4 linked regions of the Notamacropus eugenii genome follow. The protein of the gene in region 2 purifies or fractionates together with the protein of the main gene of each other region. This does not show direct contact. Links are inferred from orthologs where the notes say so. Each region holds a gene or a part of one and is shown on either strand. Other genes may lie near its edges. The genes, in order: SBF2, MTMR2, MTMR10 and SBF1.

The links.
Region 1: the proteins of MTMR2 (region 2) and SBF2 purify together in Homo sapiens (affinity purification with mass spectrometry; 3 studies listed by BioGRID and IntAct, with this or other methods). This does not show direct contact. The link is inferred for Notamacropus eugenii from reciprocal best matches to the Homo sapiens genes MTMR2 and SBF2.
Region 3: the proteins of MTMR2 (region 2) and MTMR10 purify together in Homo sapiens (affinity purification with mass spectrometry; 5 studies listed by BioGRID and IntAct, with this or other methods). This does not show direct contact. The link is inferred for Notamacropus eugenii from reciprocal best matches to the Homo sapiens genes MTMR2 and MTMR10.
Region 4: the proteins of MTMR2 (region 2) and SBF1 purify together in Homo sapiens (affinity purification with mass spectrometry; 6 studies listed by BioGRID and IntAct, with this or other methods). This does not show direct contact. The link is inferred for Notamacropus eugenii from reciprocal best matches to the Homo sapiens genes MTMR2 and SBF1.

What each region holds. Positions count from the first base shown.
Region 1 is NC_092877.1:35,162,787-35,170,196, reverse strand, and holds the start of SBF2 (myotubularin-related protein 13), read right to left. Parts: upstream 3,019-7,410; 5' UTR 2,947-3,018; coding exon 2,892-2,946; intron 1-2,891. UniProt on the Homo sapiens protein: Guanine nucleotide exchange factor (GEF) which activates RAB21 and possibly RAB28. Promotes the exchange of GDP to GTP, converting inactive GDP-bound Rab proteins into their active GTP-bound form.
Region 2 is NC_092876.1:162,162,386-162,170,152, reverse strand, and holds the start of MTMR2 (phosphatidylinositol-3,5-bisphosphate 3-phosphatase MTMR2), read right to left. Parts: upstream 3,003-7,767; 5' UTR 2,862-3,002; coding exon 2,782-2,861; intron 2,156-2,781; exon of another isoform or gene 2,103-2,155; coding exon of another isoform or gene 2,068-2,102; intron 1-2,067. UniProt on the Homo sapiens protein: Lipid phosphatase that specifically dephosphorylates the D-3 position of phosphatidylinositol 3-phosphate and phosphatidylinositol 3,5-bisphosphate, generating phosphatidylinositol and phosphatidylinositol 5-phosphate.
Region 3 is NC_092872.1:150,817,560-150,825,155, reverse strand, and holds the start of MTMR10 (myotubularin-related protein 10), read right to left. Parts: upstream 3,009-7,596; 5' UTR 2,813-3,008; coding exon 2,747-2,812; intron 2,021-2,746; coding exon 1,960-2,020; intron 1-1,959.
Region 4 is NC_092874.1:303,833,684-303,841,508, reverse strand, and holds the start of SBF1 (myotubularin-related protein 5), read right to left. Parts: upstream 3,007-7,825; 5' UTR 2,919-3,006; coding exon 2,861-2,918; intron 1-2,860. UniProt on the Homo sapiens protein: Acts as an adapter for the phosphatase MTMR2 to regulate MTMR2 catalytic activity and subcellular location. Promotes the exchange of GDP to GTP, converting inactive GDP-bound Rab proteins into their active GTP-bound form.

The sequences.
Region 1 (7,410 bases), on a different chromosome or scaffold from region 2:
AAATTAAATTCTAAAACCTAAAATCCTACAAATTCTCTTTAATGAGCAATAGGTCACTAATAAACTAAGCCAGGCACCATTTGCTTTGGATGAAATTCAAAGAAACTATGAAAAAAATTACTCTTACAATAAAAATGATTGGACAACCAAAAAAAAAAATTTGAGTAAATATAATGTACTGGTGTAAATGAACATTCAGGAACTATATATCTTCCTAAAAACATAGCTTATCATTAAAAATGACATAAATTCATTTCTTAGCTTTCAAATACTTGATAAACATTTTTAGAGAACAAAAAATCAAGGCTGATTCAAAGTCATGAAGGTCAATTTTGATGCTTTCTCTCTATATAAGATACCAATTTCTTTATATGAAATTGAATAAATCCATTAGTAGAGTAGGACAAATATTTTAAAGCAATCAAAATTCAAAATATTGTCAAAAGTACAATGCAAAACTTTAATAAAAACTATAGTGGTTTTTACACTCAAGAAACTCATGAGAAACAAAAGAGATAGTATATATAACCCTTAAATTACATGACATAAAATTCATACTAACAGTGTATTCTAATTGATAAAACTATTCAACAATGAAACAACATCTGCCATTTAGGAGAGATCCTGATTCCCCTTTTCTTCCAGGGGAGGAGGACTTTTAACTGCCACAAAAGAAACACAGCCAATCTGCATAAAGTACTGCTATACTTGATTCTCTCTAAGGTACCAAAGAAGTTTAAAAGGGCCTACTTGAACCTTAAAAGGGGAAACCTGAGTTTCATTTAAAGAGAGAGGGATACATCTTACTCAAGTTCCAATATTTTGAAAAGTTAATTAAAAGGGAAGTATATTTAATTACAAAGTAACTTTATAGATAAGAATACAGTGGATTTGTAGTTTAGAGTATAGTTGACAATTCTAGGAAAATCTAAGTCATCAATGACAAAAAAAATCTTTATGTATCAGAGTCTCTTGCCATAATCATTAAAAGAAGCCTTTAAATTGTGGTTAGCAATTATAAACAATTTAGGCAATAAAGTCTTGGGGAAGGGGGACGTCTTTAAAATTAAAGTTTATTCATTAAAAGATCCATAATTTCCTAATAATTTAACAAACAGGACTGTATTTTCATCGCAAGAAAGTGTATTTTTAATCCTTCTAAAATAACATTACTGAAATTGAAAGTATTATTGGAAAAGTAATGTCAAATACAGACAACTAATTAATCAACAATGGGGGGAGTATTTCGTTCGATGTCAAGATTCCATACTATTCAACTAATATGAACTTGAATTAAAGTTGTTGAAAGAGAACACAATGTGGCTAAAAGAAATTAATACCACTTTATTATCACTGAAGAACTTTCATACTCAAACTGTATCAAGCTGACAGTGCCTGGCACACAGTAGTTGCTTCATAAATGCTTTTTTCCTTCCCCTTCTCCCCAGGTGCAAACTAGGTTGGCCCTTCTTTTTAAAGAAGAGGGAACATTCTTATAAAAGGTCAGGATAACAAGGAGTGATGAAAGATTACTATTGCTGTTAATAATAACTAACATTTCTAGGGCCCATTGAAGGTCTGCAAAGTGCTTGGTGCATGGTACGGTCCTCACAACCTTGTGAGGTATGTGTTACTATTATCCTCATTTTATAAATGTAAAAAAAAAGAGAGAGACATTAAATGACTTGACCTGGGTCACACAGGTGGTAAAGTACACAAGGGAGGTTTGGACTCAGGTCTTCCAGCTTCCAAATCCAACTCCCTAGCCATAAAGCCAAGGAAGTCATGGGAAAGCTCCCACAAGGAAACTACACTAAGGGGCAACAACTCAATGGGAAAAGTACACGCTGAGATATCCCTTCTAACCTAAGGAGGGTGGCCAAACTCTTTTCGGCTTGGTTTCTTCATCTGTAAAAGGAGGGAAGAGGGAAGCAGATGATCTTTAAGCTTCTTTTCTAATACTTATCATGCTAAAGTAGAAGAGCTTTCGGTGTTCCACTTGCTACTGCTATACTTTTATGGTACTTATACTTTTTATGCTATGCTTTCATGGACATAAATGAACAAAGATGGACGAGAGAACTGCCACAAAATTCCTCAATTGTATAAACATGAGAAAAACGAATTTTTAAAAATCACTGGGCTCCATGTTTAGGAAAGTATTCTTACCAAGAACCAAAAAGTCTGGTATTTTCCCAAATGAGGAGAACAAAGAAAACGTTTTAAAGTAACATTTAGTTACTTAGTAACATTCAGTTGTTTCACCTGGGAAACCTCTTACCCTCGTCCTGAAAGAAGCGGACAGGGCCGTGCCCAGGGAAGCTCCCTAGCCGGGCTGGGCAACACCCCATCCCGCGGTCCCCACAAGCGGTTACACGGGCCCCCAGGGCGGGAGAGGAGGCTGCGCCAAGGACCCGTCCGAACTCCCAGGGGCCAAGGCCGCCCGTCCAGTCCCGTCTATTCTCCCTCCCTCGGGACTCTCCCTCCGGGCCCGCCCCCCTCCCTCCACTGTCTCCCAGTCCCCTCGCAGGAGCAGGGAAGCACCGCCCCGCCCCCCGCCCCAGCCTCGTTCGGGGCTGGGACCCGGCCTGGCCTAAGCCCCGTTTTCCATCCTTCCTTCCATCCCTCCCGGCAGGGCGGGGCAGGCTGGGCCCTCCTCTCCCTCGCTGGTCAGCGCAGCCCCGGGCCCAGTCGGCCCGTCCTGCGCCCCGGCCCGTTTGGGAAGGGCCCGACGCGGGGCGGCGACGGGGAGCCCCCGGCCCGGCCCGGGCCTGCGGGGCCGTTGGGCCCGGGGCGGGGGCGGGGGCGGGGGCGGCGGCCGAGGGGAGGAGGCGAGGAGGGAGGGGCCGGGGGCGGTGCCCGCCCGCCCCGCGCCGGCCCCACGCCCTTACCTGTCTTCTCGTGGTCATAGCCCACCACGATGAAGTAGTCCGCCAGCCGCGCCATCGCCGCCGCCGTCCCCGCGCCCGGGAAGCGGGACCCAGTCCCCGTCGCCGCCCTCGCCGCCGCCGCCGCCCGCTCGGCCCGGGAGCGCTCAGCATTTTCCCTCTACCGGCGGTAGCAGCAGCGGCGGCAGCGGCGGCACTTCAGCCATGTTTGACAACCGAGGTGCGCTCTGCGCCTGCGCCGGGCGCCGCGCCGCGCGAGACTCGCTCCTCCTCCCGGCTCCTCCCTCCCCTCGGCTTCCCAGAGCTTCCCTGGAGCTACGCAGCCTCGGCCCGGGCCGCCCCACCCCTCCCCCCGCCGTCGGCGCTCCTCCCCCTCCCCCTCCCCCTCCCCCTCCCGCGCCCGCCTCGCTCCTCCCCCTCCCGCGCCCGCCTCGCTCCTCCCCCTCCCGCGCCCGGGCTGGGAGCAGCTGGGGTTCGCACAGGCCTCTCCTTCCCTCGGCCCATTTGTGGAGCGGGGACCCTAGCGGGCTGGGGGGCGGCTACCGAAAACTCCGCGGCCAGTGCCCTGGAATCCGCCCCGCCGGGGCTTTTGCCGCTGGTTTCCTGTTTACGCGGCGCGGTCCCGTTTTCCGAGATCTCGCAGCGGGCTGCCAGGAAGGCCCCGCGGGCTGCCGTAGCCCCCCGGCCGTGCCAGGGCGCGGGACAGCACCAGGGTGCCCTCCTGCTTCGGGGGGGGGGGGGGCGAATGCAGGCCACCCCGGACGGACAGCTCGCCCTGCCCTGAACGCTCGGTCACCCGTCCGTGGCCTCTGCTCTCGGGCCACGTTAATGTCTTGGGCACTCCCATGAGATCCCAGCGCCCCAGGACAAGAGGCCGGGGCCGGACAGTCTGAGGTCCCGGACTTCGCCCTTCCCCTTGTCCACGGCCGGCAGCCTTTGGGATGTCACTGCAGTGGTCCGGCCGCGCCTGGCCGAGGGCAGGGTACGACTTGATCTGAGTTATTCCTGAGTCGGTGAAAGCCTTTCCTTAAAGCCTTCCTCTCGGACTTGGAAGGGACTTGAAGCGGACTTGCCCTGCACGCAAGAGTCCCCTGCGAGCGCGGAGCTGCTCATCCACGCTGCGCTGCGGTTCTGGTTCTAGGACGGCTCTCTCGGTTCTCCCTCATTCCACGCAGGGAGCTGGACTCCGCCACCACCCCGCCTCCGTCCCAGGAACTTCCACCCCAGCTTCTGCTTCGGTCACTCGATGCTTGCAGAGCGTGTCTGCTTCGTTCTCCACATAAGAAATATTGGAAGAAAGGGATATCCTCCGAATTAGAAGTACAGGGCAGAAGCTTGTCGGATGAAGTTTCCCGACAATTAAAGCTGTCCAGAAGCGGAACGACCGCCTTAGGACAGAGCGGGTTCCCTTGGAGTAGAGCTCTCCAAGCAGAAGCTACATAGCCACTTACTGGCTGAGTGTGTATGCTGTGGACGGTTTTTTATTTAATATGTGGATTGGACTAGACCTCTGGTGTGTTCCAAATCTTAACATTCCGTGATGTCCTTGCTAAGTCTCTCCTAAGACTTAACTGCTTTGTAAAAGACACTGTTAAGAATGTATCATGTAACTTAATTATTTCTGACTCCTGTGCTTATGAATTCAAAAGTATCAAAAAAGCAACTCTCCCCCAGTTAAGATCCTCTGACAAGCCCTCTATGTCAGTTTCCAGAATCTGGTTTCAACATGTGGAATATATGCATAATATACACCCATGTATCCAAGATGGCACATTCCTAGTCCATACAAGTATTTCACATACAAATAAAGTAGCTTTGCCCTTTGCTCCCTAGCCAACAGCTGCCTGGAGGCTGAGGTTGATAAGCGTCTGACAACATAGCCAGATTAGCAGGGTTGGCCATAGGCCAGAAAATCCCCCGAGATCAACAAAAACACCACCACCTTTCACTAGCTGCCTGAACAAATGTAGATTTGTTTTCCCCTGAGCCTCGGGAAGAAACTCCAGGGCCAAGCAAAGGATGAAAGAGGCAACAGTCTCCAGGATCCAAAGCATCTCCTTCCTTGTCTCAGGGCGGAAATGGCAAAGAGATAAAGAAAGAAGGGAGGTTTGCCAACTTCCCGCTGCTGCAGAACTGCTGCCTTTTGTGGGTAAAGTGGCTAGGTCTCTAAAATCATTCAAAGTACTTCCTGTGGTTTGTCTCTACTCAACAAATTAGTGAGCTGAGGTTTACTCTGCACAAGGTACTGGGCTGAGACCTGCTTATTGCAAAGTCACTGCAATCCTGCCTTGGTTAGCCTCACCTCTAAGTCATCAGATTTATGTAATAATAATATTTACATGGGGCTTCCTATGTGCCTGGCACTGTACTAAATACTTTACAATTAATACTCCATTGGATCTTCACAGCAACGCTGGGAAGTAGGTGCTAAAAGCTTTACAAATATTACCTCATCTGATCCTCACAATCATCCTGGGAGGTTGGAGCTGTTATCATCCGAATTTGGCAGATGAGGAAACTGAGACAAACAGGTTAAGTGACTTGACCAGGGTCATACGGCTACTGTCTGAGACTAGGTATGAACTCAGGTTTTCCTAATTTCAGGCCTGACGCTCTATCTACTGTGCCTCCTAGCTGCTATATACATATACACCTATATAGAACTTATAGAAAACATTCAGGCACATAAAAGTCCCACTGGGTCAAATTAATAAATCATTCAGCCCGGTGTGATATCCCTGAGAGCCTATTTAGTGGAATTGTACGGCCTTATGGAAACTGTTCTCCCTAACCTCATCCTAAGAGGAGGAGATGCACACCCCAATCGCTTTCCCTCCTTTCGATAAGCTAATTTGGCTATATCATCCACTGGATCAACTCCTATACTCTAACTCCATGTGCACTTTGTTTACCCTGTTTGGGTAAAGAGTTTCATATGTTCATGTTGACTGCCTGTTGTGTCAAGAATGACCATGCTTGTACTTGTCCTAAAAAACTACAATGTCTCCTTTAATCTTTCAGGGTAGCTCCTTATCTAGTTTAATTATGAACAAGTCTCTGTAATCCTATATGTCAGAGGCAAATAAGACAAATTGTGCCTGGATTAAGAGACTTGAGATCTCCATTTGCTTTGGGCAGGACTTTCAGAGAACCACCCTAGCCGTTGAACTGATGGGGTGAATCAGACTTTGGAAGTGAGCTTCTCAGTGGGTTTTGAGGAAGGGGTTTGGAACTAGGAGCTATAAAGTGGAATTTGTTTTGTTCTTCACCCTGAGGTTCTGGTGTGTGCATTTTTATCCCTTGAAGAGCCAGGCCAGGAAAAACAGGATTCAACTAGTGCTTCTGCCACTTCTGCTGGCATGCCTTTAGGGAAGTCGCTTAAACTCTCCATGTTCTAGATTACTCTAAAACTATAAATTGCAGGCAGGTGCTGACTTGTTCTGGTCTCTGTCCACTATCCTATCCTTGACCATATTGTCAGTTTTTAAATGTCTATCAGAGCTTTCTATGGAACCCTTTGAATACACTACCTTTCAAACAACCTTCTAAAAGTTAAGTATAAATCCTACCCAGGTCACAGAGCAAGTTAAAAGGGGAGCCAAGAGCCATCAAATGCTTCTTTTTCAAAGAAGCAAATGTTCTATTCTCTGCTTTTCATACACATAGTTCAAACAGTGAATTATTTAGCCTAATTTTCTTTGCAGGGTGTGTTCACGATATTTAATTGGGAACCAGTTTAAGGAAGTGACCAAGAATATTTTTATAATCCAGAGAGGCCTGGAGAAAATGTAGGCAGTGTCATAAACAGCTGGTCAGCCCTTCACCTACTCTCCATTTAACAGCAGACAGAGGCAAAAGTGCTGGCCAGATTGCTTTTTTTTTCCCTGTGTATCTAACTGAGAACAGAGAGAAAAGGGATAGTTCCAAGAATGAGAATAGTTCCCACCAGCAGCCTCAAGACCTCATATGGCCTTCTAGGTCTTCAGATGTGGCCCTTTGGCAGTCAAAGGGGCGAACTCGAGGATCTAGAGAACCAAATGGGACCTCGAGCCAAAGGTTAACCTGAAAGCATTCAGGGTTCCTTTAAAAGTTTCACAGGTAGTATGTGTATACATATGTGTGTGTGATTATATGTGTGCCTACATATTGAGAGAGATATGGATGAATAGAGATGATATAGCTTAGATGCAGATGTCAGTATAGATATGGATAGGTTTAGATATGCATGTGGCAGCCTGGTATAGTGATAGAGAGCCTGCCTCTCACATATATCTGGGTTCAAATAATGTTGCTGATACACACTGTGGTCCCACAATTCATGGGCAAGTGACTTCATCTCTTAATGTCCTCGAGTAACTCTAATTCCAAAGGTTACAGACCTAAGGAGGTTCTAATCTGCCCTTAAGGTAGGGCCTTTCCATACCTACTGTTTTTGAAATGCTTGAAATAACAGGTTTAAGCTAATACTTATTTTTAGCTCCCCTAGATCCTTTCTTCCCTCTTCTTAGTGGGGGGTGGGTGG
Region 2 (7,767 bases):
TGTTGTTCTTATTGTTTTTAACCCTAAATATAGGATGGGGGAAACATAAATAGGTAGCAGTTCTTTAGCAAACAAAAAAACAGATCTGAGTATTTTAGTGGACTGAAAGTTCAAAATATGTCAGTGGAATGACACAGTAGTCAAAAAAAAACCAAACCTAAGCTACTGTAATCTTAAAAAAAACCTTAAGCTACATTAAGAGAAGCATAGTACTCAGAACTAAAGAGGTAATTGTATCAGTGTGCTCTTGTCCTGATCAGTTTCATTTCTGGGCATCACATTTTAGTAAAAATACTGATGGGTCGGAAAAATGTCCAGAGAAGAGTAACTGCATTGAAAGGCCTCAGATAAAGCCACATGAAGACTGCTGAAGGGGCAAAGAATGTTTAGTATGATAAAAAATGATTTGAGAGACCTAATAGCTGTCTACAGGTAATCTAAAGGGTTTTCATATGGAGAAGAACAGTTTAGCCCACAGAGGCAGAACGAGGAGTAAACCTGCAATGAGGGAAATCTGAGTTTCATGAAAGGAAAATTTCCTGGCTAGAGCAGTACAAAAGTAGAATGGTCTGTCTTAGAAGGCAGTGAGTTCCCCCTGTGTAGAGGCTGTCAGACAAAGCTGGATAATCACTTGTTGGGACTTATTCAGTCACGGGATGACCTTGATGGCCTTCAAAGTTCCTTCTAAATCTGAAAGTTTTAGGATTTTATGTGATTGTATCCAGACAAAAGTTCTACTCATTTAAACACTGTCCAGAGTAGCAAAGGGTATCTACAGGTAGAGTCTTTTTTTTTTTGGAAAAAGTTTTACACCTCAAGTTTCCAGGTAGGTAAGCATCATAATTTTTTTTAAAAGAGTAAGCACATATGCACACATGACATTCAACTACAGATTGTTTTTAATTGCAGTTGTTCAAAAAAGTATACCTCAGAAGACAGGTTTAAAATCTAGCCATTAACACAAGCTGTGTGACGAAGTATGTGTCTCTGAATTTCTCTGAACATCAGTTTTCATATCTACAAGATGGGAATAGGATCAAAGATATAGATCTGGAAAGGAACTCAAAAGGCATCTAGTCCAACCTCTTCATTCTACAAATGAGTTTGATGTGAATAGAAAGATAACCCATACTAGTCAGAAAACTGAGATGAGGTGGATGAGGAAACTGAGGATACAGAAAAGCTTAGTGACTTGTCCAAGGTCAAATAGAGAGTAAGCATCAGAGAGTAAATTGTGAAGATCTAATAATATGTTATAAAGTGCTATATAAAGTAAACTATAATCTGTATGCAATTCTAAACCACAGTTTGGAATCTGTATTTTGCTTATACAGTTTTAACGTCTAAATCTGCTGTTGTATTTCTAAATAATTTTTAAACTTTTTTCTTAGTAATCATTAGCAATTTTTAAAGTTATTTTTAAACAAATACTTAACACTAATATTGAAAAAACAATCAAATTCAAAGAAAGCTAAGTTCTTACTCTCTTGCATAATTTCAGATTTAAGTACCAAAACGCATGAACTGCTTAATATGTGATACTTCTTCATTCTTTGGACTATTTTACATTAGCAAACAGAATGACAGAACACTAGACTTAGAATCAGGAAGACCTCAGTTCAAATCATGGCTCAGCTACTTATTAACTCTGGGCAAATCACTCGACCTCTCTGAGTCTCAGTTCCTCAGCAGTAAAATGAGAGTAGCTTTGAGCTCTAAAAATCTGATCCTAATTTATGATGTTTCTAATCCATTTGCAAATTCGATGTTCCCAAACCTTTTTAGGATTATATAACAAATGGACCACTTCAATTACTTTTTTTTCCCACTTAAAAAAAAACTATTTCAAGACATATGAGATTTCAATGACCCACAAGCTTCCCGCTATTATTCACAAAGAACTTTGCTGGGAAACCTGCGACTTAATAATCTAAGACTTTCTTCCATACTTCCAAAATGTTAAAAACAAACACAAAACCCCAACAATCCTATCAAGCACTCAGGCCATCAGAAAAACTGAAGAGATGGGAGCAGGGGGTAAGAAAAATGCCCTCTCATTTGGCCTACCTGATACATTCTCTAAGGGGGTTTCCTTTCTCCATTCACTCCCTCAGAGGTGAGGGCTGCCCAGGAATCCCAGAACCTAAACTTTGGTCTGGGGAGTTAGAAGAAAAAAAAAAGAGTAAGGGCGTTTCCATGACAACCCTTAACAGAAGCAGGGGGAAAGAGTTTCTTGAGAGAGCACGAGGAGGGAGAAGGGAGAGATGGGAAATAAGAGTGAAGGAAAGAGGAAAGGGATGGGAAAGGAGGCACGAAGGAAATTGGAAAGAGATGGGAAAGTAAAAATGAAGGAGGAAAGGGATGGGAAAGGAGGCATGAAGGAAGGAGGAAAAGAGTGAGAAAGGAGGAATGAAAGGAGGAAAAGGGTGGGAAAGAAGGAACGGAATCGCTTGTCAGATGTGTAAAGTGCCCAGGATGCCAACTGAGGGTCCCTGCCAGGGGGTGGGAGAGGATGAAGCAGCCCGGGACGGGGGAGGCGGGCAGAGCCCGGGACGCCCTGGTGGGGCTGGAGCCGGGCCCGCGGGAGCAGAAAGGCGGGCTCCGCGGGGCCGGGGCTCCGGGGGACCGGGGTTCAGCGGGGCTCAGCGGGGCCGGGGCTCGGCTCAGCGGGGCCGGGGCTCGGCTCAGCGGGGCCGGGGCTCAGCGGGGCCGGGGCTCGGCTCAGCGGGGCCGGGGCTCAGCGGGGCCGGGGCTCAGCGGGGCCGGGGCTCGCCCGCTTACCTGGACAGAGAGTCGACGCTGGGCGGCCGCGCTGCCGCGGGCTGGGAGCCCAGACTCTCGCAGCTGGAGCTCCTCTCCATGGCGCGGCCGTTCGAGAGCTAGGCTGGGCGGCGGCGGCAGCGGACAGGAGGAGCCGCGGTCAGCCCCGAGCCTCCCAGCCCCACCGCAGACAGGAAGCGGCCATGTTCGCCCAGACTGCACCGCGAGAGAGCTGGGGCTGCGGGAGGGGGCTCGCCCGGAGCTGGAGGAGCGCCCTCCCCCTGGTCCGCCCCCGGCTCCCTCCTCCTGAGGGGTTAGCGAGGCCAGACACCTTAGAGATGGAGATGGGGATGGGGCTTTCTGGGTGACACCGGGGAGGGGGAGGGGGAGAGGGACATAGGATGGGGCTGTGAGTCAGAGTGAGGGGAAAACGGGAGAAGGCATGACTGGGGTTGTAAAAAGGTCAGGGAGGTGTGGTTGGAAGTGAGTGGGGCAATGCTGATAAGTAAGGGACAAAGTAGGGCAGTGGCTGGCGGGCTGGGCCTGAAGTCAAGAAGATTCATCTTCCTGAATTTAAAGCTGGCCTCAGAGGCTTGCTAGCTAGCAAGGTGACCCTGGGCAAGTCACTTAACCCTGTTTGCCTCAGTTTCCTTATCTGTAAATTGAGCATGAGAAGGAAATGCAAACCACTCTGGTATCTGCCAAAAAAAAAATTCCAAATGGAGTTGCAGAGAGTCAAACACAACAGAACACACACAAGCGATAAAAGTGGGGTGCAGAAAAGAGAACAAGTACAAGTCATTCCCCAATTGATAAATGGTCAAAGGATATGAACAGGCAATTTTCAGAGGAAGAAATTAAAGATATCTATAATCATATGAAAAAATGCTCTAAATCACTTTTGATTAGAGAGATGCAAATCAAAACAACTCTGAGGTACCACATCACACCTATAAGATTGGCAAACATGACAGAACAAGAAAATGATAAATGCTGGAGAGGATATGGGAGAGTTGGAACACTAATTCATTGTTGGTGGAGCTGCGAGCGCATCCAACCATTCTGGAGAGCAATTTGGAACTATGCCCAAAGGGCTACAAAAATGTGCATCCCCTTTGACCCAGCAATAGCACTACTAGGACCGTATCCCCAAGAGATCATAAAAATGGGAAAGGGTCCCACATGTACAAAAATATTTATAGCAGCACTCTATGTAGTTGCCAAAAACTGGAAGTCAAGGGGATGTCCATCAATTGGGGAATGGCTGAATAAATTATGGTATATGAATGTAATGGAGTACTGTTGTGCCATAAGAAATGATGAACAAGAAGACTTCAGAGAGGCCTGGAAGGACTTATATGACCTGATGCTGAGTGAAAGGAGCAGAACCAGGAGAACTTTATGCACAGCAACGACCACAGTGTGTGAGAGTTTTTTCTGGTAGACTTAGATTTTTGTAATAACACAAGAACTTCTTACAAAAAAAAAAAAAATCCCAATGGTGGTTCTCAAGGCAAAATGCCTTCCACACTCAGAGAGAGAAATATGGAAGTCACTCACATAATGTAACAGATCATGTTTGTGTATGTGTAGTCACTCACATAATGTAACAGATCATGTTTGTGTATGTGTATGTGTTTGTGTATCATGTTCTGATTTGTTATACGATTTCTTTCATTTATCTTAGTCTGACTACATAGCATGACTATAGTGAAAATGTACTCAATAGGAAAGTATATGTAGAACCTATACAGAATTGTATGCAGTCGTGGGGAGGGAGGGGGGTAGTGGGGGGTAGGTGTGGGGGGGATAAAATCTCAATTGTATGGCAGTGATTGTTAAACATTAAAAAATAATAATAATAATAATAAAAAAATAAAAAAAAGAAAAGAGAACAAGGTTGAAGGTATCTCAGTGAGATGGTGTCCCTTCCAGCTCTAAATCTATGGTTCTGTGACTTGAGGAATATGGAAATAAAGGGAAATGGTGACATGGGAATGACTGAGACAAAAATGGCTTGTGAAAGTAAGCCAAGGCGAAGATCTGAGGATTAGAGATTTTTGGGTGAGGTGAGAAGGTTGAAGTTTAGGGTATTAGAATAATGGCAAGTAGAATGAGACAGAGGTGAATGATCAGTTCATATGCCCCAAATTCAAGGATATATGTGTCTGTGTGTGTATTTGTATGTATATATGTGTATATGTATGTGTGTATGTATGTATATGTGTGTATATATGTATATATATACATATATACACAGATATGCCCAGTGGATTTTTTTAGCTGCTAATATTGATTGTATGGGTGAGAGACACAGACTGGGTACTTTGGGAAAAAAATAGTATTAGAGAATATAGACAGCTAGGTGGCACAGTAAATAGTGATAGTCTTGGAGTCAGAAGGACCTAAGATTATATCTGGCCTCAAAATACTTTCCAGCTGTGTGACTCTCATTTAACTCTGCCTCAGTTCCTCATCTGTAAAAATAAGCTGGAGAAGGAAATGGCAGACCACTCCAGTATCTTTGCCAAGAAAACCCCAAATGGGAGCTTGGAAAGTTGTACTACACTGAAACCACTCAGCAACAATGGAAAATATGATAAAGTCTGCAGTCCCAATAACTTGGAGTGATTGGGTAGGAGTATAAGGTTGGTGTGGACTTGGTATTGTTGGTAATATAGAGTATGGAATGAATAGAAAAAGGAGAAAAATGGAAAAGAAACTGCAGGGAGAAAGTACCTAATACTTCAGGGCTGGTACCAGACCTCTTCCCTTTTCTTAGTTCCCTGCCCACAAAACAATATAAGAAAGGGACATAAATAATGCAAGAGGAAAATTAAATATGTCATGGGGGTGAGGCCTAGGTTAAGCTTAGGTTGACTATTCCTGATCCTTTCAATTTCCCCGGTGGAACAGGAAGGTGGAGTTGAAGAGAGAGCCAGACATTGATTGTGATGATAAGAGAGCAGAATTGGGCAAAGGGAGGATGCTGCTGCCAGTAATTTTTTGCTAACAGAGGACACAGGAAGATCAGAGGAAGGACACAATTGAGGCATTTTAAAATTGATAGTGAACAATTGCAGTTTCATCTCTTGGAATGTAGAGAGTGAGAAAAAGCTGTTATTGACTATTAGCAAATTATACAATGAACCTGTAAAAAAAAAAAGTACTTTGATGATAGGGAAAATTTTTTTCATCTCGATTTGTGAACCCAAATTTATTCTTCTATTGGGCAGCTGATTTTTTTTTATTTCCATAACTATGTAAAATCAACAGGAGACAAGAAGAAATTAACTGAACTGTCAACTACACACCCACAAGCCAAATGAAGGATAGCCCTGTTCACCATATACTTAACAGCTCGTGACTGAATGTGTTTGTGTTTAAACACAAAGGATTTTGCCTCTTCCACCCTGCAGTTTGCTGGTGACCAGTGATGGCCACTCAGTAGTACTGGTTACATCACTTCTATTTCCCTAGTTGGCAAAGAAAGCTTTACTGTTCTGTGATGGGTGGAGGAACCAGTTAGTCAGAACACTGTTTGACAAACAGCTACGATAACAGCTTTGGGAATATAGCTTATTATTTGTTTCCCTTTCCTGCCTTCCTCACCATCTCCCCCTCATCCTCCCCTTTTCTCCCCCTTCCTTGCTGGTTCATTGCCACCATGTTCTTTAATTCTATCTAGTTTCACAAGATCCTTTCTAGTACTGCACAATGGAAAGAATACTGGTTCTAAAGTCAGGAGACCCTGGGGTGAGTCACTTAATTTCTAGGTGTTCTAGGAAACTGAGACTATAAATTACAAAGAAATTGCTGACTTGCATAGGTAGAGGGAGTTTCCTCATGTACATATCAATGAAATCTCAGGTTCAGACCCTATTCCCTATCTTGGACAAGGTAATATAGAATGAAGACCAATAGTCCACCCTCAGGACAAAACTAAGTAACACTTAATATTATAAACCAATGCTCATCAATGCCTTTCCAATGGTATATTCTTGTATTGTGTCTCCTGCTCCCAAGAGACTATAAGATTGTTAAGCAGCTCAACATTTTCTGAGAGTACGTTTGAGTCAATATGTTGGGGGTGAAAACTGAATTCAGACTGAATTTCTTTTTGGTTTAGTGATTTCTATGTCTCATTCCTGGGAGAAAGCCAACTGACCATACCTTTATCTTCTCATACTTTAAGTAATTTCTAAACTTTCTCTTTTGTAAAACACACGCATACACACACACACACACACACACACAGAGTATTATTCTCTCTCAGTGGTTTTACGATCTTACATCCCAGGCCACTTTAGAATAGATGATCTAATTAGCAAACTACACAATTGCAATCTAGACTTCTCTTGCCCAAATTGTTAAGGTGTCAACTTTACAGCTTACTGCAAACCAAAAGATTTTCTTATGTAAATCTAGATCCATTATACTAGTTTGTTAAATGCTACCCATCACTAAAAGTTCTGAGTGAAAAAGTTAGAACCCAGAAGACAAGATTTCAAAATCTGGTTCTGCTGCTTATTGCCTGTGAACATGGGCAAGTCACTTAACTTTTCTGAAGCTCAGTTTCCTGATCTATTAAATGAGATGGCTGACCCAGATGACTCCTAAGGTTCTTTACAGCTGTAATCTATGACAATAAAAACAAATTTAGACTGCAAAAACATAGCAAAAGGGTAACAATCTCAGGTATGTGAACAAATGGAAGATGGGAAGAGGAAAGGAGGAGCAGACTGAATTGTCAGATATCCCTTCATTCTCTAAACAAGTTACCACAGGATAATTTGTAACCAGGAGTAATCCCCAGAGATCATTCATTTAGCAAATATTTACTAAGTAGATAACACTTTACTGGATCATTATCAATTTTTGTTGTTGTTGCACTTTAAGATACCAGCTTTCAATAAAATACTCCCTATGAATGTGACACTTTACCAGTTAGAGTATCTATAGTTTAAACCTTGTGTCTCAGTGAGTTTCTACTCTAGGAAGCTTGGG
Region 3 (7,596 bases), on a different chromosome or scaffold from region 2:
TTTTAGGCAGTATCATTTCATAGCTGTATGACTTCACCTTCCTGAGCACTGGTTTTCTCACCTGTAAAATGAAAATTCACCTCCTATCCCTAGTTCCATCCACAGTTCAGCTCAACTGTCCCCTTTGTATAAAGCCTTTCTTTATCCTTTCAGCTTGAATGCTCCCCCGCCTCCAAGGAAATTCCTTTGAATATAATGTCCAGATACTCTGTACTTATCTGCGTATCCATTTCCACTTTGGAGATAACCTTCTAAAAGAGAATTGTTTTCATCTGATCTAATTTAAACTCCAGCACCCAGCATAGTACTATGATAGTAGGCACTTGATGCCTTTTAACACTAAATATTATGATTCTTATCTTTTGACAATTACTTTTTGTTTACAAACTTATCTGAAGTCACAGGTGACATGACTGAGTTTTTTCTTGGTTTCTGGATTCATGAAAAGCCAGGGTCAGTTTCTAACAGTAGCATATTGTTCAATATATTCTAGAAAAAGTCTAACAGTCTTGCTCTTTAGGTGGCCCTGAAGTCTTATTGATGAAAATTGAGGGTGGAGAGCCAAGAGGGAAAAATGAAAAACATAAAGAGACTTGCCTTGGGCACGAATCTTGGTTTTTTATTCATCTCTGTATAATCTAAACTGCCTTGAACATAGTAGACAGTCGCTAAGTGTTTGCTGAATAACTATGGTAAATGAAGTATTTTTCAGAAAGTTAAAGCAAAAATATATATTAAATTTTTAATCTTTTAAGTGTAAAAATCTAATTATTTGTAAGGTAAACAGAATGACTGGAATATTTTTGATGTTAAAAATAATTTATATTATTTTTTAAGACGAGGCAATGGCCACTCAATGAATAATTCAAATTTTTTGTCAGTATTTACTATTCTTTATATTGAGGGAAAAAAGGTTCTGGTTATCATAGCTTAAATGAAAAGCATTTTAAGAAAATAAGTAAATGTGTAATCCCTATTAATGATTTGACAAATCATGAAAATTATCTATAAGAATAGAAATTTGGAACCTTTAACTTGTTTGGACAGAATCTAAATTTTAAATAGCTAATAGGCACACATTTAAAAGTAGCACTGCTTCATATTTAAAAACAATATACAAAAAGTCTCCAAAGTGGCTACGAATGTGTTAATTAGAGCATGCATGTGTATCACAGTTTTCTTAACAAGTTTATTCTGAAAAAAAAGAAAAACACGACCAAAAAAGAAATATTTGTAGCTACGTATTCAAGTTTCATTTTTGTAAGCAGTTAACACAACACTTGAGAACTGGTATTGGCTAATGTGTTTTTATATACTATATCTTATTTTAAAACAAAATTTACAGTCCACGTACTCATTCAATGAACTCTACCACTCTTGTACGTTTCAGCAGAAATACTTCAGATTTAGTAGAGTGCCCTGCATACAGTCGGTGCTTAATGTCTGCTGAAATGAACCGTGTACAATCACTGTCACGTAGCCCCAAACCCCGCACACGATACCCCGCATCTCCGTCACATCAGCCCCCCCAGCGTCCCGGAGATGTGGCTATTCTCCCCGCACGTCTACTGGACAGCCCCAGGTCCTTCTCTCCACACTTCATGGAGAACCCAACGATCCCAGGGGCAAGCTCACTGCGAAGCGAGCCAGAAGCCCCGGACCCCCTCACCACCTGTGCCAGCCCAAGCCAGCACGCCCCAGCGCCCCGGCGGGCCCCTCCCGCGGAGGAGACGCGGCCCACGGCGCCGACCCCCGCGCCGGAAAGCTCGGACAGACACAAGCGCCACCGACGTCCTCCCACAGCGATCGTTAAACTCTCCTCCGCGGGCATTCCCGGGTGTAGCCACGGCTTGGGCCGGTCCGGAGCCCGCGCCCTTACCTGGGTGGCCAGCCCGCCCTCCCCCGCGGCTGCCCGGCCGGCACACTGACGAGGCCCGGGGGCGGCGCGCCCGTGCTCACCTGGCAGAAGCGCGGCCTCCAGCTTCCTGATCCTGGGCTCGGGGCTCCGCTGGTCTTCATCCTGAAACGCACCGGGGAAGCCTCAGACACGCGTGACCCAGAGCGCGTCCCCAGCCCGCTCGGCTCGGGCGCTGCTGGGACCGGCGGTCCACACCGCTGCCGCTCGCTCGGGGGGCTCCCTCAGCTTCCACCCCCCCACAACGTTAACGAGGGTGCGGCATCGGACGGGGACCCCCCCTACACACGGCCCAGGGTTGGGGTTACTATTTACCCTCTGCTGCACCACCTTGGCCCTCCAGCGGCAGCAGCAGGGCATCGGGAGGGCCCCGCCAGGGGGCGCCCCGCGGCTCGGAGCGAACGGGGGAGCGGCGCCGCGGACTCGGGCCAGGAGCTGCTTCCAGGGCCAGAGGAGTTTTAAAAGTTTCCCCGGGACCGGCCTGGGGGGTACGGGGAGAGACTGGTGCCGATCCGGGCTCCCTCGGTGGTTTAGGGGTTGGAGACTCGAACCTGAGTGGGGAGCCTGCTCGTGGGGCGGCTCCGCGAGTGGGGCACGGGACCGGTGGGGTACGGTTCTCGTGGGCTGCTTCCTCCCCACCTGGGAGACGCGAAGCCCCAACCACCGGAGTGGAAGGAGAAGTCCCGACCCTCTCCCCGCCCCCCAGCCCCACGCGAGCCCAACACTCGGAGGTGGGGGGAGGGGCGCCCCCTCCTCGGCCCCTCTACGCCCCCCCTCCGTCATGGCCCCACGAGGATCCGGTCGGCGGCGGGGGGAGGGGAGGCTGTTTACCTGAGGCGGCGACGCCGGCGGCAGGAGGTAGGACCTGAAGGTGGGTCGGGGCGGCTTGGAGAACATGGTGCCCCCCACGGCTGCTTCCTTCCTTCCCACCTTTCCTCAGCAGGGGCGGCGGGGCTCACCCACCCCGGCGAGGGGCGGGGGGCAGCGGCGCAGGCAGGGCCGCCTTCCTTCCCCAGCCACGGCCACGGAGTTTCCCGGAGGAGTCGCCCAGGCCGTCTGGGTCTGCGGCCACCCCCCCCACCCACCCCCCACTGGGCGGGCGGAGACTGGAGCGCCCGGAGCGGGGAGGAGGAGCCGCGGGGGCCGAGCCCGGCGTGACGCGGCCCCTCGAGTTCCCAGCCCCCGGAAGGGACCTCCCCGCCTCCGCCCCCGCCCCCGCCCCCGCCCCCGCCCCACCCCGCGGGAGGCCTAGGGAGCGGAGGTGAAGGTGGAGGTGTCGGGGGGGTGGGGGGGGAAGCGCCCGCGTGCGCGCGCACCGCCGCTCGGAGCAGGCATCTGCCCCGCCGCGAAAGGTCCTACGCGGGGCGGCCGGGCACCCCCTGGGGGCGCGGAGGACGGCGGCCATGTTGGGCGACGAGAGCCGAGCGGGCCGCTACGGCGGCACACAGGGGCCAAACGGCCCCAGCTGCCCGGGAGGGAGCGCCGCGGGCCTCCGTCCCCGCCGGCCTCCGTCCCCTCCGGCCGCCGTCCCCGCCGGCCTCCGCGTTTGCCTGTTAGTCATCAGACTTAAGGGATTCGTTATTTCCAGAGAGGATCCGAAGCCCCGGATCCCCTGGTGGGGCCACAGCCGCCCCAGAAAGTGCCCCGGAGGGCTGGTACCCCGGAGGGCTCCTCCTCGCCGCCCCCGACCCCTAACTGGCCTTCCCGGGTTGAAGGACACAGTCCTTCGGACCCTTGGTTGCTCACCCGGTCAGCAAGCGTTTGTAAATGAACGAAGCGTTTATTGCGCCCCGAGGGGTGTAGGCGCCGAGGGCCGGGGAGAAAGCCCTCAGGGAAGTCACGGGGAACCCCGCAACCTGGCCATTAGTGATCTCGTGGAGAGACCCCTGAACCGGACCGGCGAGGCAGGGGCGGGGGAGCCCGGGGCCAGGCCGCGCCTGGGGGGTCCTCTTTGGGGAGCGCCCTCCGCGGGCACGGGGGAGCCCGGGGCCAGGCCGCATCTGGGGGGTCCGCTTTGGGGAGCGCCCTCCGCGGGCACGGGGGAGCCCGGGGCCAGGCCGCGCCTGGGGGGTGCGCTTTGGGGAGCGCCCTCCGCGGGCACGGGGGAGCCCGGGGCCAGGCCGCGCCTGGGGGGGTGCGCTTTGCCCGCAGGAGGAGCTTTACTGTGCGCCTAGGCTCTGCACGGGACGGGCTCGGGTCTTCACTGTTCTCTCGCAAACAGGGTTAGACGGGGAGCCTCCGAAGTGCTTCCCGGCCACGGAATTGTGTGGTTTATGCTAACAAATGACCGGAGCCTTGGGGTTCTGTGGCAGGGTCTTCCGAAGACCTTTGTGTCTCAGTAACAGTCCCCCTGCACGGTGTTACAGTGCGCTCTGGGTTGGCATCCCCAAGCCCACAAACAGTCGGCAGCAGCGACGCTGAGAAGCGCCCGCAGCCCCAGAGCTCCTCTTTCTCTAGAACCGACGTAGCTTGAATCAGACCTCCGCTTTATGAAAGCGTTGATCTCGTTCTGCTGAAGCTGTGACGAAGCCCTTTGAAGACGGGCTGCCTCGATCAGAGAAACTGAGGCAGGTAGGGTGAGGTGGCTTGTCCAGGGTCGCCCAGCGTGGGGCTCCGCAGGACTTCTTCCAGGGGTTCTGTCCCAGGACGGCCTAGGTAAGGTCAGTCAGCGTGGCACCAGGGCCTGCAGCATTTAAAACCCGGTGGCATTTCCCCCACACATCTAAGTAGATATTCTGCCAGTATGCCAAAGGAAATGTGCTTTCACTCTTGCAGGCTTTGGATCTTTTGGGGGTTATAGCTCTGTGGGACACAAAAGTGAAACGCTGAATTGTCCAGGGCTTTATCTACATTATGTGAGACACTGTCCAGTCCAATAAATCTGACTTGTTTGGTGTTAGTTCTCGTTCTCCCTGACCAGTCTGTGGGTCTGAAAGCTCCCTTTCCCAGCTTCCAGGAGATTGTAAGCTACTTGAGAGCACGGGTATTTATTTGTCTTTGCAATCCTACATTTCCCAATTTTTGAATTAAATTGTCTGGAATAAAATGCCTGGAATGCCCTCCTTTTTTAAAGTTTCCTGCTCAAGCTCACAGTCAGTGTGTGGCAAGGGTAGGCCTGGAACCAAGGTCGTCCTGACCCTGCACCCTCTATTCCTTATGCCAAGCTGCCTCTTGCATAACAAGATGTACTTTAGAGGTGCTTAATAAGTAAACGATGGTTGAATTCCATGATACTTTGGTTCAGATTCTCATCTTATTGCCCATTTCCTTTGCTACTCCTTTTTCTTTTTCCTCCTAAATATGTGCATCCCCCAAAAGTCAGACTTTGGATGTCTGCTTTTTCTGTCTCTCAAACCGTTTTTCTCATGGATTTAGCTAGCACTTTCGTACTGATGATTCCCAAATCTCTATCTGCATTTGACCTCTCACCCAGGTTGCAGTCCAGACTAGTTCTGGAACTGGTAACCTATCCAGATGTCTGCCAAATGTTTTCTCAGTAAAAATTCTTGAGAGGCCTAGGGGAAAAGATAACTAGAGTATAATGAGGCACTTGAGGAGGTGGTGGGAAAGTATGGTTTTTATTATAGAAGTGTACAGCGTTTCCACTAACCTTGGTTGTGAATCTTATATTGATGTTTTAAATTTGTGTTATATTATGAGCATGCTAAGTTTGTAAAGAAGAATACTCCAATAACTCTTAGAAACTGGACCTAATTGCAAATACAAGTCATTGCCAACAATGTCCAAAGGTAGGAACTGAGAAATAGAATGAAAATAGGAAGGAAAGGCAGTGTGAGACACTAAATTATGAATTAATAAAGACTATAAAATGAACTCAAAGTTAGTATTATTTCCTGTAACCTTACAAAGTGTACTTAAGCATTGTAGCTAATTCAGTTCAATAAACAATAAGCAAATAACCTGAACAGAAAGCATTGTGCTAGAATTTTGATGCATCTTGGAAAGATATAATGTAATAAACTAATCTTTGAAGGTGAGATTTTTTTTTGTAAGTAAGGAATACCTATGTAAATACTCCTACGTATTGTTTACTTGGTGGGCTTCATAACATTTTTTGTGTCATGCACCCCTTTGGTAATCTGATGAAGTCTATGGACCCCTTCCTGAATTTATGTTTTTCTGTGCATAAAATTAAATACATAGGATTACAGATGAAAATAATTATATTGAGATACAGTTAGCAAAATATTTTCAAAACAAATTCACGGACTATGGGTTAAGAACCCCTGCTTTAGACTGATCAGATCAGAGTAGATGCAATGGTTACAACATAAGTGGAAGGGTTTCTGATGTGTTCCCAGATTGTAAAATTGGGTTCTTAATAAGTCATATTAGCTCTGACAAGCTACTTAAGGAATTAAACTTGTGTATATCCCTACCAATTCGTTGAATTTAAATGTGCAATACAAATTACATTAGAGTTTTCATTTCTAACTCTGCAGTTAGGAATATAAATGAAGTCATCATTCTTTCCTTGCCTGGCATAAATATTTTTCTAGAGAAGAGTGAATGGCTATTTATGGTTGGTTGATCTAGGCATCTGGTTGCTTCATGGGGAACTGGTTATAAGGACTTGACCAATTTCCTCTGTGACTGGCAGCTGCCAACTCCCATCAGTTATATACACTATCTTCATATGCTTTAACTAACTGTTAAGTAAGTGATCTCTGAGATTAGCAGCCAGACCTTTTAGAATTTAAAAAAAAAATCCAGTTTTGTTGAACAAGGTTCCTTTGCAATGATATATAACAAAATGTATCTTAATCGGCACTCTTCCAGGGAGTAACCACATTGATGGGATCTGTGATTTATGTAGTGTTGAAGTATACTATAAAAATGTTTTTTATGTGAAGAGCAGCAAAATTTATTTAATCACAAAATTAGTTGAAATACATTAAAGCTATCCTATTGTTGTGTTCATCCTTCGTTGACAAAGAAGACCATGCCATCAGAGAAATGATGACATGACTTGCACTTGACTTTGTTTTGAGTGAGGGAGGGCTTTGCAGGTCACCAGCCTCACTTCTCCTCCAGAGCCATCTGAATCCAGTGACCAGATATTCATCAGGATGACTGGAGATGACCCAGGATGAACTGGGAGACCTTGGCCCCTTTAAGCCAAGGTCTGTTCAGGTACTCATTTAGGGTGAGGTAATGCCCATTCATTGAATAGGCCTGTTTAAGAAGTAGCCAAGAGGTGACCCCTTTAATGAGGCAAAGAAAAATGAAGATACTTTACCCAAAGTCCAAATTATAAAACCTCTTTATGGAGAGGTATACCTAGCTAGATTACAATGTATAAGAGTTTATGATCTCAAATATAAATATCTTTTCCTTATTTTAGGAATTGAGTTCTCATTCATTTAAGATAGTTTATTCATTACAAAGGCTTTCTAGTTTCCATTATTTTTATATTTCAAAGGGTCTCATATATACAATTTGTTAAGATTTTTAACAGTTCTACTTTCTTCATTTCTGATAATTTTGAATTTACCTTTTCTCAGTGAAATAAACTGGACAAACAAATCGCTGATTTAAGACAATTATAAAGATTTTGAAAGAGAAACACTACATATAATATGCTAAATTAAAAAGTACAGGCTATTTTTAAAAATGCTACAAATATCTAGTTTGCCAGTGTAGCAGATATGTGTGTGTTT
Region 4 (7,825 bases), on a different chromosome or scaffold from region 2:
GGATACCCTGGCCTTGGGGGGAGGGGAAGGGAGCTGGCAGACAGCCCAGTGAGACCCCAACTGTGCCAGACTCAAAGCAGGGAGGAGTTCCTGGTAGAAGATAGCTCTCTCTCCCTAAAAAGGGACTCAGTCACACTGGGAGTTACTTCAGGACAACAAAGGATGCAATACTTATCCATACAAGGAAAAACAGAAGGGGGGGTACAGTGATGTGCAAAGCACCCCCACCTCCCTAGGCCCAAGCCACAGCACCTGCTCACATGGCCCAGGCCCCAGGGGCAGACATCCTGAGCCAGGCCTACCCAGTGCCTCTGCTTCTGCCTAAGCAACAGGTTAAGTCTCTGCTACTCCTCACCCTCGTTCGTGCAGGGCCCCAGGGACCCAAAGCCGTGAAGAGGTTGGTCTCTGCCCTCAAAGAGCCTCTTGGGAGGCAGATGGTTGGGTCTCATCTTCTTTTGTTATCTACCAGTGCACGTGGGCTGGCTACCTCAGTGGTTAAGCCCTAGAGATGAAGAATGCAGTCTTGTGGGCACACACTAACCTCTAACTTGATGGCTGAGTCTGCTAATCCCAGAGTGAGGATGGTTTTGTGCAGCTCTTCCCACTACCACCAGCCAAGGTCCACAAGGGTCTGGTAGCAGAAATCAGCAGGCATTTCCTACAGTTCTGGTATCCACCCCCTCCATCCAACCTGGCCCTTCTCCTATGCTGGCAAAACACGCCTCCTGGGAGAATCCAGCATCGATCATTTGGTTGAGTTCACTCCCTAGGGTAGGTCCCCTAGGATAGGGTAGGAAGCAGGGGGAAGGTCTGGGCCCTTCAGGGCGGAGCCTAAGGAAGAAGGCTGAGCATCCACACCAAGGGGGATACCCGGCCTGGGCATGGCCACTCTCCACGTGGAGCCCCCTCCTCAGGCTGGCCATGGACCTGCCCCCAGTGGGATGGCACCCACTGCCCCAGATTCAAACCATGTCTCCTCTGTGCCTCTCCCAGGTCAGTGGTGCAGCAAATCATGCATGGCCCCATGTCACAAGCAGCTTCTTTTCCAAGTGGAAAGCCCTCTTCCACACACATACTGTCAGAGCGACCTTTGGTCCTTGCGTTCCTGGGCCTCCTCCCCAGCCCTCAGGGTTCCAAGGACCCCAGCTTTCCTTGCATGCTCTGGCTAATGCTGTCTCCTCCCCAGCTCCAATTTCTATCCATTTTTCAAGACTGAAGTCAAAACCCACTTTCTCTGGGAAAACTTCCCAGGATGCTCCAACTCACATATGTCTTCCTTCTCTGACTTCTTACGGCCCTTACAAATCAGTGCCAAACAGGGAATGTTCCAAGGGCCTTCTGTGTGTGAGGCCTGGTGTCTACATACCCAGCCCTGTCCTCTGGTCCTGTCCTACCATGATCCTCACACCATGTCTAAGAAATTAGCAGGCAGCAGCACAACCATTACTGCCCCACAGGTGGGGACATGAACTGGGGGCCAGGGGAAGGAAAGGCATTCCCTCAAAGTTACCCAACTGGTAAGGGAAAACCATGACACAGGGGACATGTAGGGGATGGTCCATCTGGCTTCTCCCAGTGCCCTGGGGGCAGGTGGCCCTCACCACCTCACCCTGGCTAACTGTACCTCCTCTTCCGAAAATCACACCTGCCTGGAGGATGCCATCCAGAGCTGGACACCACCCAGAACATCCCGCTCAGGCCCTGGCATCCCTACTTCCTACCAAGTTCCCTTCAAGGCCCAGCTGCTAGTGCCTTCCTCCACCCCCAGGAATTACCTAGTATATACTGGTTAACATATCTTGTATTTATTTATCTGTGTGGATGCAGCCCCTCCCCCCTCCAGAATGAGAGCCTCTTCTCTTCCTTGGGCACCAGGCCTGAGCACAGAGGGCTCTGAGTTCAAATGCTGCCTGACCCACAGTCTGATTGTGCATAGACCACACTGGTAGAGGCCCTTTCCAGATGCCAGCCTTCGCCCCAGCCCTTGGCACAGAGCAGGCCCCAGGAAATGTTTTGTGGTACCTGACCCAGCAAGTGCACGAACCAAAGGTCCCAAGTGACCACCCCAGAAACACCACTGGCTGCTAGTTTGGGGGTGCAGGGATGTAACACCTACAGCTAGGGGAACAGAGGAGCCACTAGTAAGTGACGGGACAGAACAGCTGGTTTAGGGGTGCAGGGTGACATCTTTAGTTGAGAGGGATAGGACAGCTGGTTTGGGGGTACAGGATGATCTCTGGAGCTGACAGGGGCAGGGCAACTGGTTTGGGGTGCAGAGTGATATCTGCAGCTGAGGGGGTAAGGTAGCAGGTTTTAGGGTACAGGGCAACCTCTGCAGCTGAGGGGGGCAGGGTAGCTTGTCTTGGGGTGCAGGGTGATCTCTGCAGCTGAGTGGGATAGGGCAGCTGGTTTTGGGGTGCAGGGTAACCTCTGCAGCTGAGTGCGATAGGGCAGCTGGTTTTGGGGTGCAGATCACCTGAAGCTAAGTGGGGGGCAGCTGGTCTTGGGGTGCCAGTTGGCTTGTGTGGCTGGTTTTGGGGTGCAGGGTGGCCTCTGCAGCTGAGTGCAATAGGGCAGCTGGTTTGAGGGTGCAGGGTGATCTCAGCAGCTGAGAGGGGGAGGACAGCTGATTTTGGGAAGTCAAGTGGCCTGTGCTACTGGTTTTGGGGTGCAGGTGACCTCTGCAGCTGATAGAGGGAGGGCAGCTGGTTCTGGGGTGCAAAGTGGTCTGTGCAGATGGTTTGGGGGTGCGGGGTGGCCTGTGTAGGTGGTTCGGGGGCAGTGACATCTCTGGCAGGGCACTGAAGGCCCCGCCCCCTCCCCCTCAGTGCCCCCCTCCCCCCCGCGGCCCCCAACTCACCGGCGCGCGGCCCGGGCCCGAAGGCCACCAGCACGAAGTAGTCGGCGAGCCGGGCCATGGCGGGCGGGCAGCGGGCGGACGGGCGAGGCGGCTGCGCGCTCACGGCCCGGGCCCGGCCCCTCGGCCCCGGCCTCGGCCCCGGCCCCGGCCCCGGCCCCGACCGCGCTCCCCGGCCCCGGCGGAGGATGAGGCTCCAGCGGCTCCCGCCGCCATCTTCCCCCGGTCCCTCCCTCCCGGCGTGCGCGCGCGCGCCCGCGGCTGCGTCGGCGTGCCCCTCCGGGGGCGCGCCCGCAGCCCGCCCCGCTCTCCTCCGCAGCGGGCCGGGAGCCACTGGGACCTGAGGGGGCGTGGCCAGAGAACCTGGGCGGCCGCTGTCGTGGGGGTGTGGCCAACGAAGGACGGCCACGCCCCTGCTGTGCGAGGTTACCCCGCCCACATCCTCCTCTGCCTGTCCTCGGGCTGGGGCGAGGGCACCGTGTCAGGCCCTCGCTGTCCCTGGACTTGGGCCGCCATCCCACCGCAGCCCGCTCTACCCCTCTTGGCTCAGGTGGCCTGCCTCACCTTTGTTACCCCCCCAGAACCCTGCAGCACCCCAAATCTCAGGCCCGGGACCCCCACATCTTCCTAGTCTTAGGACCCGCTCGCCTTGGACTCCCCCCGTCCAGCCTCAGACTCCCCAACCTTTGCTCGGACCGCTCCTCAGTTCAGGCCACCACCCTCCCCAACCATCGGTTCCGCCCCCCACCATCTTGTATAGCACCGCACCCCTTGGGCTCGGGCCCCCCGCAAACCTCCCAAACTATTGTCCCTCCCCGGGCTCAGCCTCCTGCCTCTTTTCTGAGATCCCAGCGCTTCTCCCGAACCTGGAATTGGCAACAGCCCCTTCCCCCCAAATCTGCTGAAACTGCCGCTCCAAGGTCACCGGGTAGCAGTACGGCTGAGCCTCTAGCTCCACAACACCCACCACCTCTCTAATTCACTCATTTTAGTAGCCAGTTACTGTAGGGAAGGTACTGGGCTGGTCTCCGGACTGATGCAACAGGTCCTACCCTCCAGGTGCTTATGTCCTAAGATGGGGCAGGGCAGATATTGGGAGTCCCCAGATTAGGAATGGGGAGGTGATCTGAGGAGGAAGAGGGCTCTCCTTCTCTGGGAGGGTAAACAAGGGCAAAAGAATGGAGGAGGCTAGGGCTAGATCCAAAAGGTCAAGGGAAGGAAGAAAGAGCTTTCCAAGTCAATCATTGAGCATTAAATAAGAAATAAACATTTTCAACATAGTTAATTGAATGATTTTGATTGTTTGAATGTTTGTTTCTCCCACACAAAGGAAACGCATCAATCATTAAAAGCAAGAGCTCACCAACACAGACTTAAACATGAAGCAGTAACTTCCAACTCCTATCTTACTTTCTAGGCAGCACAGTAACTTGATTTCATGGATCCCCAAAATGCTACAAAGACTCCTCAGTGAGATCAATGGCCTCTCAGAAGAAACCTAGCAATCCATACAGGAAAAATTGAGTGGACGAAGACTGCTTAATGCCCACACTCTGTCAGAGATGTGGAAGGAGAACCCACTGAATTAGGCCAACTGTATGAATTTTATAGACAGATACTATTAATCTCATCCACTCCCATGGATTTAGGAGTCAGGAAGACCTGAGTTTCAATCTGGCCTAAGATACTTCTAGCTATGTGACTCTGAGCAAATCACTTAACTTCTGTTTGCCTCAGTTTCCTCACTGGTAAAATAGGGATAATACTATCACCTACTCATCCAACCATTCTGGAGAGCAATTTGGACCTACGCCCAAAGGTCTATGAAACTGTGCATACCCTTTGATCCAGCAATACCACTTCCAGGGCTGTATCCCAAAGAGATGATAAAAAAGGGGAAAGGACCCAAAGTACAAAAATATCTATAACAACTCTTTTTGTTGTGGCAAAAAATTGATGGGGATGCCCACCAATTAGGGAATGGCTGAACAAATTGTGTTATATGAATGTGCTGGAATGCTATTGTGCTATAAGAAATGATGAGCAGGTGGATTTCAGAAAAACCTGGAAAGACTTATATGAGCTGATACTGAGTGAAGTGAGCAGAACCAGGAGAACACTACACAGTGATAACAACATTGTGTGATCAACTTTGATAGACTTAGCTCTTCTCAGCAATGGAATGATCTAAGACAATTCCAAAAGATTCGTGATGAAAAAATCTAGCCACATCTAGAGGAAAAACTATGGAGTCTGAATGCAGATCAAAGCCGACTATTTTCTTTGTTTTCTTTCTTGTGGTTTTCCCCTTTTGTTCTGATTCTTCTTTCATAACATGACTAACATGGAACTATGTTTAATATGATTGTACATGTACAAGCTATATCAGACTGCATGCTGTCTTGGGGAGGAGAGAGGAGGAGAGGGAAATTTTAGAGCTCAAAATCTTATAAAAGGGAATGTTGAAAACTAAACATAAATTAACTAATTCTACTGCCTGTCTTCCAGGGATGTTGTAAGAATCTAATGAGAATAATTGTGAGGTACTTTGCACAGTGCCCTGCCCACAGTAGATGCTATATAAATGTTAGCTATTATTATTATTATTTCTATACAGATGATTCTCAGATCTATTTATCCAACCCCAAACTCCCTCAGGTACTGTTGACAACTGCCTATTTGTTGGTCATGTTGAATTGGATGTCCCATAGACACCTCATACTCAATATGTTTAAAACAGAATTCATCATCTTTACCCCCAAAATACCCCTCTTTTCTGAATTTCTCTATTACTGTTGAGGGCACCAGCACCCTCCTAGGCACCCAGGCTCATAACCTAGGGGACATCCTCAACTTTTCCCTCACATTTACCTCCTATATAGAATCTTATTGTTTCTACCTCCATTATCTCTTGTTGCCAACTCCTGTCAATTCTGCCTGTATAAAAAGTAGCAACTAAGTGGTTTAGTGGATAGAGCAATGAGCCTAGGATCAGGAAGACTCCTTTCCATGAGTTCAAATCCAGTCCCAGACACTAAATAGCTGTATGACCCTGAGCAAGTCACTTAAACCTGTTTGCCTCAGTTTCCTTATCTGTCAAAGGAGCTGGAGAAGGAAAGAGCAAACCACTCCAGGATCTTTGCCAAGAAAATTCCAACACCATAAAGAGTGAGATACAAGTGAAATGACTAAATGAACAGTAAAATCTTTCTCTTGAATAGCCCTCCTTCTCTCTTCTGCAGGATCTCACAATCTCTCCCTACTCCAGTTCATCTTCCACTTAGCCTTCTTCACAGTCTTCTGATATTACAAAGGAACTATGTGGTAGAGAGAAATACAGGAGCTAAAATGGATGATTTTAGAAAACATATTTGAATATATTTTATTTTTCCCCAATTACATGTTAAAACTTTTTTTTAACATTCAAAAAAAATTTGAACCACAAATTTTATATCTCCCTCCCTCCCTTCCTTCTACCCTGAGATGGTAAGCAATCAGATATAGATTATACATGGGGAATCATATAAAACCTTTCCATGTTAGTCATTTTGTACAAGTAGAGTCAAATAAAAGAAAAAGAATGAAAGAAAGTGAAAAATCCTGCTTCAGTCTGTATTCAAACAGTATCAGTTTTTTCTCTGCAGGAAGACAGTCTGTTTTATCACTAGTCCTTTGGGATCGTCAGTGAAGTAATTCACAGTTCTTCATTGTACAATATTGCTGTTACTGTGTACAACCTTGTCCTGGTTCTGTTTCCTTCACTTTACATCAGTTCATGTTTTTCCAGGTTTTTCTGAACTCATCCTGCTTGTCATTTCTTACAGCATCATAATCACACACCATAACTTGTTCAGCCATTCCCCAATTAAGGGGCATCCCTTTGATACTCAGTTCTTAGCCACCACAAAAAGAGCTGCAATAAAATGGATAATTTTGATGACATTAAATTTAAAAAATTTTGCAGAAATAAAATCAATGAAGCCAAGATTAGAAGGAAAGAAGAAAACGGGGAAAATTTGTACAGCAAGTCTTTCTAATAAAGGCCTTGTTTCTCAAATATATAGAGAACCAAGTCAAATTGATAAAAATATAAGTCATTCCCAATTGATAAATGGTCAAAGGATATAATGTAATTTTCAGATTAAGAAATCAAAGCTATCTACAATCACATAAAAATGCTCTAAAATCATTGCTGATTAGAGAAATGCAAATTAAAACAACTCTGAAGGGCCGTTTCGCACCTATTAGATTGGTTAATATGATCCAAAAAAAGGAAATTGACAAAAGTTGGAGGGGATATGGGAAAACTGGCATACTAATGCACTGTGGGTAGAGTTGTGAAGTGATCCAACCATTCTGGAATGCAATTTGGAATTATGCCCAAAGGTCTATAAAACCATGCATACCCTTTGACCTCATAATACCACTACTAGGCCTGTATGTACAAAAATATTTATAGCAGTTCTTTTGTGGTGGCAAAGAATTGGAAGTTTAGGGGATATACATCAATTGGCGAATGTCTGAACAAGTTGTGGTGTAAAATTGCAATGGAATAAGAAATGATGAGCAGGATGCTTTTAGAAAAACCTGGAAAGACTTACATGAACTGATGCAAGGTGAAATGAACAGAACCAGGAGAACACTGTACACAGTAACAGCAATGTTTTACATGTATCAGCTGTGAATGATTTAGCTATACTCAGAAACACAGTGATCCAAGACAATTCCAAAAGATTCATGATGAAAAATATTATCTACCTCCAGAAAAAGACCTGTGTGTAGAAAAGGCTCTGAGTGTAGATTGAAGCATATATTTTTAACTTTCTTCATTTTTTATGGGTGTTTTTCTTGGGAGAATTTTTTTGTTTTTGTTTTTTACAACGTGACTAATACAGAAATATGTTTTGCATGACTTCACATGCGTAATCTATATCAAATTGCTTGCCTTCTCCATGAGAGGGGAGGGAA